Arabidopsis thaliana: one gene and its partner. The protein of the gene in region 1 interacts with the protein of each later gene in a biochemical or structural test. Each region holds a gene or a part of one and is shown in the gene's direction. Other genes may lie near its edges. The genes, in order: HDA9 and AHL22.

Region 1 (3,928 bases):
AGGCATCCCGATGTCAACAAATCAGATATTCTGGTAGACCATGAAGATGCCAGAGGTCGGAGGTATGGAGGAGTGTCCTTGAATGATAAAAAGGACGCATACTTGCAATGTGAAAACCAGCAACTCCTAAACGATTATGAAACTGACTCTTATGTCATGATGCCTCCTGATGTCAACAGATCAGATATTCTAGTAGACCATGAAGATGCAAGAGGTCTAAGGTATAGAGGAGTATCCTTAAATGATCGAAAGGAAGCATATTTTCAAAGTGAAAGCCAGCAACTCCTAAAAGATCATGAAACTAACTCTTTTGGCATGATGCATCCCAGTCTCAATAAATCAGATATTCTTGTAAACGGGGAAGAAGCCAGAGCTCTTGAGCGTAGAAGAGGATCCTTCGATGATGGAGAGGAATCATACATGGATTATAAAAGGGGGGATGCATATCTGCATTACGAAAGCCAACAACTTAAGAAAGATCATGACTATGGCATTGATGACAGGATATATCGTGATGTCAACTCGTCAGATATTATAGTAGACCATGGAGATGCCAAGGCGCTAGAGCTTAGGAGAGTAGCCTTCATTGATAGAAATGAAGCGTATTTGGATAATGAAAGCAAGGATGTTTATCAGCATTACAATAAACAACAACTGAAGTACTACGACTCTGGCATTGATGAGAGGATGTATCCTGCTGTCACCAAAGCAGAGATTGTGGACCGAGGAGGTGCTAGAGCTCTAGAGCGTAAAGGAATGTCCTCGAATGACGGAAGGGAAGCCTATTTGCCCTATGAAAGCCAGCAACTCCTAAGAGATCATGAAATTGATTCGTATGGGGTGATGCATCCTGATGTCAGTAGATCATCAGCTGGCAAGCAAGATGAGGAAGCTCTTCGAGGCAGGAGATATCTTTTTGATGACCGAGATCAAGTCTACTTGGATGATGAGCGTTTGCAACGACGTAATGGTGGTGATGTTAAAGTTTATGCCAATATGAGATATCAAGATGGTAGACAAGAGGTTTATCATTCGAATGATTCAATTTTGCGTACAAGAGATGATTATGGTCTTAGAGACAACGCAAGTGAGGTTATGCATGAGAATATGCCTTATGATTACAACTACAGGGATGCTAAGCAATCAAGAATGTCTTATGAGAAGGCAGATAGTAAAAGGTTCCGTGAACATGAAGTAGCATATGATTACAGAGACAAGCTAGGGAACTATGCAGTGGATGGAGGAATAAGCAGAGAACAATTCCGATACTCAGCTGATGAAAGGAATTCTGGTAATGTTGATCACACATCAACTCGACGCCGTCGATTATCTGCAAAGGAGCGGTTAGGTGGGCGTGTTGAAGAAGATTCACGTGTTCATGTGAAACATAGACTGCATCAGGTTAGAAACCCAAACCTAAAAGGTAAGTCCCATAAGAGGTACCTCTCCTGAGGTCATCATTTCTCTCAACATTGTTGATTCCTCCAAACAAGATTGAGAGAGAAAAGCTCCTAGGTTTTCAAAGGATGGGTGTGAAAACGAAGGATCCTAAAGTTGTAATCTCGGCTCTTTTTTGGTCTGAAAAAGGTTAGAAACAGATTCAAGGATTGAAGTTTTTTGGCAATGGAGGATATTATCTTGGTTAGTAGATATGCTTTCTTTTGGCGTTGAACTTGACTTTAAAATGTTGAGATTTTTGTCTGTCTTTTAGATTGTTTGGTCGGTGGTTTGTATCGACCTATCAATCAAGTAGACAGTGGTTACGAGACGTTGGTCTTTTTTGGTCTCTGGTAGTGACATTGACATCGGAGATCAACAAGTAAATAACTCAACAAGTTTATATAATCTAACAACTTCTTACTATTATAATCTCGAAATTGGTTTTCTTTCTCATTTTGATTGTGATCATTCCTTGGTCGAATTTGATTCAGTTTACATGTTTTGAAATTGAAGATGTATACTAAACCAGACAAGAGAAAGAAGAAGATATAACTAAATCGATTGATTTATATACACAGTATCAAATTCAATTTCGATTCGGTTCAAATGATGGAAAGCTACCGGTCTGGTATTATAAAACCATGAGTCAAAACCGCTTTTTATCAAATACACTTTAAATGACGTCATCTGTCATGTCATCAGAACACTAAAACGACATCGTTTCACTTTTGACTCTCCCCTTGTTCTTCTCTTCTCTCTTCTTCTTTTCGCTTCGTTGCTGCTCTCTTCTCGGCTCCGCCGGAGAATCGTGAAATCTCTGCGACTTCATCAATGAAGAAATCGTCTCATCTCTCTACTGAATCTAAGCAGACCTGAAATATCTCTGTATAATCTTTCTTTAAGATTGATTTCGTACGATCTTCGTGTCTTTTCTTCTTTAAGAGATGCGTTCCAAGGACAAAATCTCTTACTTTTATGATGGTATATTCATTTCTTTCCCTTTTCTTCTTTATTTATGGTAAAGAAACTCCAAAATCCTTGAGATTGATGTAACTCTTGAGCAAGTTTTATCCACTTGAACCGCACTAGTTTTTGTCTTTATTGCTCAATCGATGCATCGAAAGGTGAAATCTTTCATATCTATAGTCTAGAATAAGTAAAGGGTTACGATTAGTTTGGAAATACTCCAGAATTGAGTAGGGTTTTTGATGAAAAGAACAAGGGTTTTAGGTGAAGTTTCTGATTTTTTCGATTCTTTGGCCTGAGTTTAAGCTTAAGATAGAAGCCTTCTTGTGGTGAAGACGACTCTAGTACCTGTGAAGTTGACTTCTTTGATTGGTTTGGTCAAGTCTTTGTTATTTCTTTGCTAAAATATGAAACCCTAGAACTTTTGTTAAATTTGGCATTGCATATAATGTTTGAAATTGTGTTCTTTCGAGATTCCTCTCTGAGAAACTTTTATAGACTTGATAGTTATATAACTTTCATTTTCGTACTTCAGATTTTCTGCATGATTCAAACTCTGATGCGAGTTTCAGATTATATTCTTGTTGATGATTGGAGCCTTTGAGGCAGTTTATATGAGATTGTGATGTTATGCTGAATGTTTTTTTTTGGGTTGCAGGGGATGTGGGGAGTGTCTATTTTGGTCCGAATCACCCGATGAAACCTCACAGGCTTTGTATGACCCATCATCTTATCCTTGCATATGGCCTGCATAGCAAGATGGAAGTTTATGTTAGTGTCTCTTGCTCATCATATATGTTTCTTGTTTTTGTTCTTGATCCTTTTATTCTTTTTGTTTATGATATCACGGTACATCTCGATTGAAATCTGTATATGTTCTCTATTGTTTCAGCGTCCACACAAAGCATATCCTATCGAGATGGCTCAGTTCCATTCTCCTGACTATGTAGAGTTCCTGCAACGAATTAATCCAGAAAACCAGAACTTGTTCCCCAATGAAATGGCTAGATGTAAGTTTTGTGTCTTCATTAATTTGTTTTTGTAATCTACATGTTAAGCTGAAATTAAGTTACTGTGTTGCAGATAATCTGGGAGAGGATTGTCCTGTCTTTGAAGATTTGTTTGAATTTTGTCAACTTTACGCCGGCGGAACCATAGGTAAATATACACAGTTGGTATTCATGTTTGCTTGTCACTTTAGAGAAACGACTGACCGAGAATTTTGTCTATAGATGCTGCACGCAGGTTAAACAACAAACTCTGTGACATTGCTATAAATTGGGCGGGCGGGTTGCACCATGCCAAAAAATGTGATGCATCTGGGTTTTGCTACATCAACGATCTCGTGCTAGGAATTCTTGAGTTGTTAAAACACCATCCCCGTGTTCTATACATAGATATAGATGTTCATCATGGTGATGGGGTTGAAGAAGCGTTTTACTTCACTGACAGGTACAGTTACAAATCCATAACACTACTTCTCGAAAGCTGTTACTATAGAAACTGATTGCCAATATCTTTA
Region 2 (3,928 bases), on another chromosome or scaffold:
AAGGTAATCATTTTGAGTGGTGAACTTTTGTGAAAAATCACTCGTTGGTGACCAAAAATATTCCCCATCGTGACGTGAAAGCCACCCTTCTGAACTTCAGGCATATCTCTGAACTGAGTCAATGTTTTAAGTAATTTAATTTACCATTAAATGAATCCTTCACGCGTGTCAGCGGCTGCACGTGCGAGTGTGAGCTGGTCCTCGCTGGATTGTCTTGTTACGTGAAGGCATCGCAACCGACGGGGACAAACATCCAACGGCGTCTGACGCGCCTGTTATCTTCTCTTTCCTCCACTTCCTGTCTCTTTAGTTTTCCCCCAAGCTTACGCGATTTACGAGCTTGAATCTGCCTTATCGACCCAACATACACAATTAATCTCCGAATATTATACTATGCTCCTAGAGTCCTAGTAGTAGAAACTTACTTTATGCTAAAAAGCCACAAGCAAAATAAAGGAATCGGCTGAAAATAAAGGAATTTAAGCCAGTTCTTCTTGAAATGTTTAATTGGTAACTTTCAAACTGGTGCAACAGCTTTCATAATAATTTTAAGGAGTTGAAAATTTAACGTTTCCACATTCTTTTAGTTGAGTTAGACAATGAATAAAAATTCAATCTGATGTTGATGGTGTATTTTATAATTAACGACCAATTGATGTTGTGTAAACACAATCATTAATATACTACTTCGTATACACAATTTTCACTTTGATGACTAAAACCATGTGATAGTAGAATCGTTAAAATAAAAGAAATTTGTGATTTTTAAATAAATTTAAGTACACAGAGACTATATACATTAAAATTTGATTTAGTAAAACAACAGTATCCATATTCCACAATATATAATAGGCACAGTACTATGTGTATAATTTTTTTTCTAAAAAAAGCACAGTATGTGTATATATAATATATATATATATATACATATACAATTAAGTGGTTCTGATAGATTTTAAGTGAAATATTTAAAACAAGTTCTGTCATTATCCAACCACAATAACGTCTCTTCTTCATAATTTCAGCTTCTTTTCTCCAATTCAACTCTTTATTATTTGTCACTAACTTTTATGCACTTTAATTAATCTTAACGTACACATGTAGTATATTATTAAAAGTATTTTTGTTCATAAAAACAATTGTATGATGTGAGAACAAGAAAATAATTAAATTTGTTCTGCAAACAACCCCCAACGAATCCTCTAAAGTCTAATGTATGCATCATGCAATCGGGATTCATAATGGTCGTAAAAAATTTCTTCTTTCAACGCAAATCGAAGTTTATGATACGTAAACGCAAAATTAATACTGATACTCCTCAACACAGTATACTTTTATTTTATCACTAAGTGACGTTTAAAAGTTTAAACGAACTATAGATAAGCTGTAAGGTTTATCCTACCCACTTTATTTGTACTGTAGAGTTTAACTTTTTCTGTTGCTCTATAAGTTTTTGAATGTGTAAATTGTTTTTTTTTTTTTTTTTTATGTTCTACCGTTACATCGAGAAACATAATATAATGAAAAGACTCGTGACTGTTTGCTAAAAAAATAAGACTCGTGAATTGATAAAATGTAATTAAAAGACCGTACATTAAGGCATGTACCACCTACAAAATCATGCATATATGCATCAGTTTCATCATGAGCTTCATTTTTTTTTAATTAGTATCCTTTGATCAGATTTAATATAAGACTCGTGCGCTTCAATTTGTGTGTCCATTATAATGTTTGATATAATCTCACGCATCCATGGACTATCTAGTAAACCTCATCCAATATTTTCATAGACTAAAAAAGAAAAAAACCTTATACTTCAAATTTTCAATTAAAGGGAGACGAAACACAACTGAAAATTATTACACAACTAACAAAGAGAAATATTTTTAAAGAAAAAAATTGTAGAGCCCACAAAGTGATGCAGTAGGTAGGACCCACACACCGCCCATGCGGCACGCTGTCTATCTAAACCAAAACTAACCCATTCATCATTCATCTTAACCTTAACCTCCTCCTCCTCTCTGACCTAACCCTAAACCCATCTCTCTCTCCTTCTTCTTACAAGCTTCATCTACATGTATTACTAGTGCAGCTCCAGTTTCGTCTTACATGTATATGACTTTTGTATTACCCTTCTCTTAATTTCTCTACTTCAGATTTTTTTCTCCTTAGATTAATTTAATTGAGTTATTGTACATCCCTCAAGCTAAGATTCTGGTTTTGTGAGTTGAGTGGATGAGAAGAGGAGAGATTAACTAAATTAGGGTTTCAATTGTTTACTTTTTGTTTGCTTTTTATATCAAGTAATGGATCAGGTCTCTCGCTCTCTTCCTCCACCTTTTCTCTCAAGAGATCTCCATCTTCACCCACACCATCAATTCCAGCATCAGCAGCAGCAGCAGCAACAGAATCACGGCCACGATATAGACCAGCACCGAATCGGTGGGCTAAAACGTGACCGAGATGCTGATATCGATCCCAACGAGCACTCTTCAGCCGGAAAAGATCAAAGTACTCCTGGCTCCGGTGGAGAAAGCGGCGGCGGAGGAGGAGGAGATAATCACATCACGAGAAGGCCACGTGGCAGACCAGCGGGATCTAAGAACAAACCAAAACCGCCAATCATCATCACTCGAGACAGCGCAAACGCTCTCAAATCTCATGTCATGGAAGTAGCAAACGGATGTGACGTCATGGAAAGTGTCACCGTCTTCGCTCGCCGTCGCCAACGTGGCATCTGCGTTTTGAGCGGAAACGGCGCCGTTACCAACGTTACCATAAGACAACCAGCTTCAGTACCTGGTGGTGGCTCATCTGTCGTTAACTTACACGGACGTTTCGAGATTCTTTCTCTCTCGGGATCATTCCTTCCTCCTCCGGCTCCACCAGCTGCGTCAGGTCTAACGATTTACTTAGCCGGTGGTCAGGGACAGGTTGTTGGAGGAAGCGTGGTTGGTCCACTCATGGCTTCAGGACCTGTAGTGATTATGGCAGCTTCGTTTGGAAACGCTGCGTATGAGAGACTGCCGTTGGAGGAAGACGATCAAGAAGAGCAAACAGCTGGAGCGGTTGCTAATAATATCGATGGAAACGCAACAATGGGTGGTGGAACGCAAACGCAAACTCAGACGCAGCAGCAACAGCAACAACAGTTGATGCAAGATCCGACGTCGTTTATACAAGGGTTGCCTCCGAATCTTATGAATTCTGTTCAATTGCCAGCTGAAGCTTATTGGGGAACTCCGAGACCATCTTTCTAAATCGCGAAGAAAAAACAAGTTAGATACGTTCGTTGTTTTTAATTTATAATCTCTCTTCTGTCAAGTTTTAATTTTCTTTTTCTTCTTCTTTGTTTTCTAAAGATAATTGTAGTCTTTGACGAAGATTCGTGGTACGTATGAATCGAAGAGAATCGTTTTGGTCATGGGATTGATCGATCTATTAGGTTTGAGAGGGGGTTTGTGTTTTGCGTTGACTAGCAGATTATAAAATTGTTGATTTTCGAGTTTTTATTTTCATGTGTTGGTGATAATTAGCTTTGTGTCTATCTATGTATGTTGAATTCTAGTGCATAGTTATTATATCGTTGAAAGGTTGTGATTAAGGTTAAACAGGTCACTAACAATGTCAAATTGTTATGTTCTTCCGTTAGATTTTGGGTAATAGGTCAAATGAATTTCTTCAAGTCCGTTACTGCTGATTAATCAAACTCTAAACTCATTTTCCAAAATCACGTTGTTTGTACTTTTTTCTGTTCAAAGAGTTAACAACGGTTATTTTTATTTTAAAGTTTAAACGGCTGTAGATATTTATAATTTAACTTAAGTTGGAAGACATAAGAAAAAAAAAGATGATTGTTCCGAGGTTGGTTAGAAGATGGTGAGGCAAGAGGCATAATGACAAGAACAAGACTTGGGAACAAGGTGAT

The links.
Region 2: the proteins of HDA9 (region 1) and AHL22 form a complex in vitro, tested with the Arabidopsis thaliana proteins (one study listed by BioGRID).

Annotation. Positions count from the first base shown.
Region 1 is NC_003074.8:16,228,209-16,232,136, reverse strand, and holds the start of HDA9 (histone deacetylase 9), read left to right. Parts: upstream 1-2,127; 5' UTR 2,128-2,384; coding exon 2,385-2,421; intron 2,422-3,064; coding exon 3,065-3,177; intron 3,178-3,298; coding exon 3,299-3,416; intron 3,417-3,489; coding exon 3,490-3,564; intron 3,565-3,638; coding exon 3,639-3,858; intron 3,859-3,928. Other genes in the region: AT3G44690 (uncharacterized protein), read left to right, coding at 1-1,452. UniProt on the Arabidopsis thaliana protein: Responsible for the deacetylation of lysine residues on the N-terminal part of the core histones (H2A, H2B, H3 and H4).
Region 2 is NC_003071.7:18,725,542-18,729,469, forward strand, and holds AHL22 (AT-hook motif nuclear-localized protein 22), read left to right. Parts: upstream 1-1,962; 5' UTR 1,963-2,306; coding exon 2,307-3,260; 3' UTR 3,261-3,731; downstream 3,732-3,928. UniProt on the Arabidopsis thaliana protein: Transcription factor that specifically binds AT-rich DNA sequences related to the nuclear matrix attachment regions (MARs). Binds an AT-rich DNA sequences in the FLOWERING LOCUS T (FT) promoter.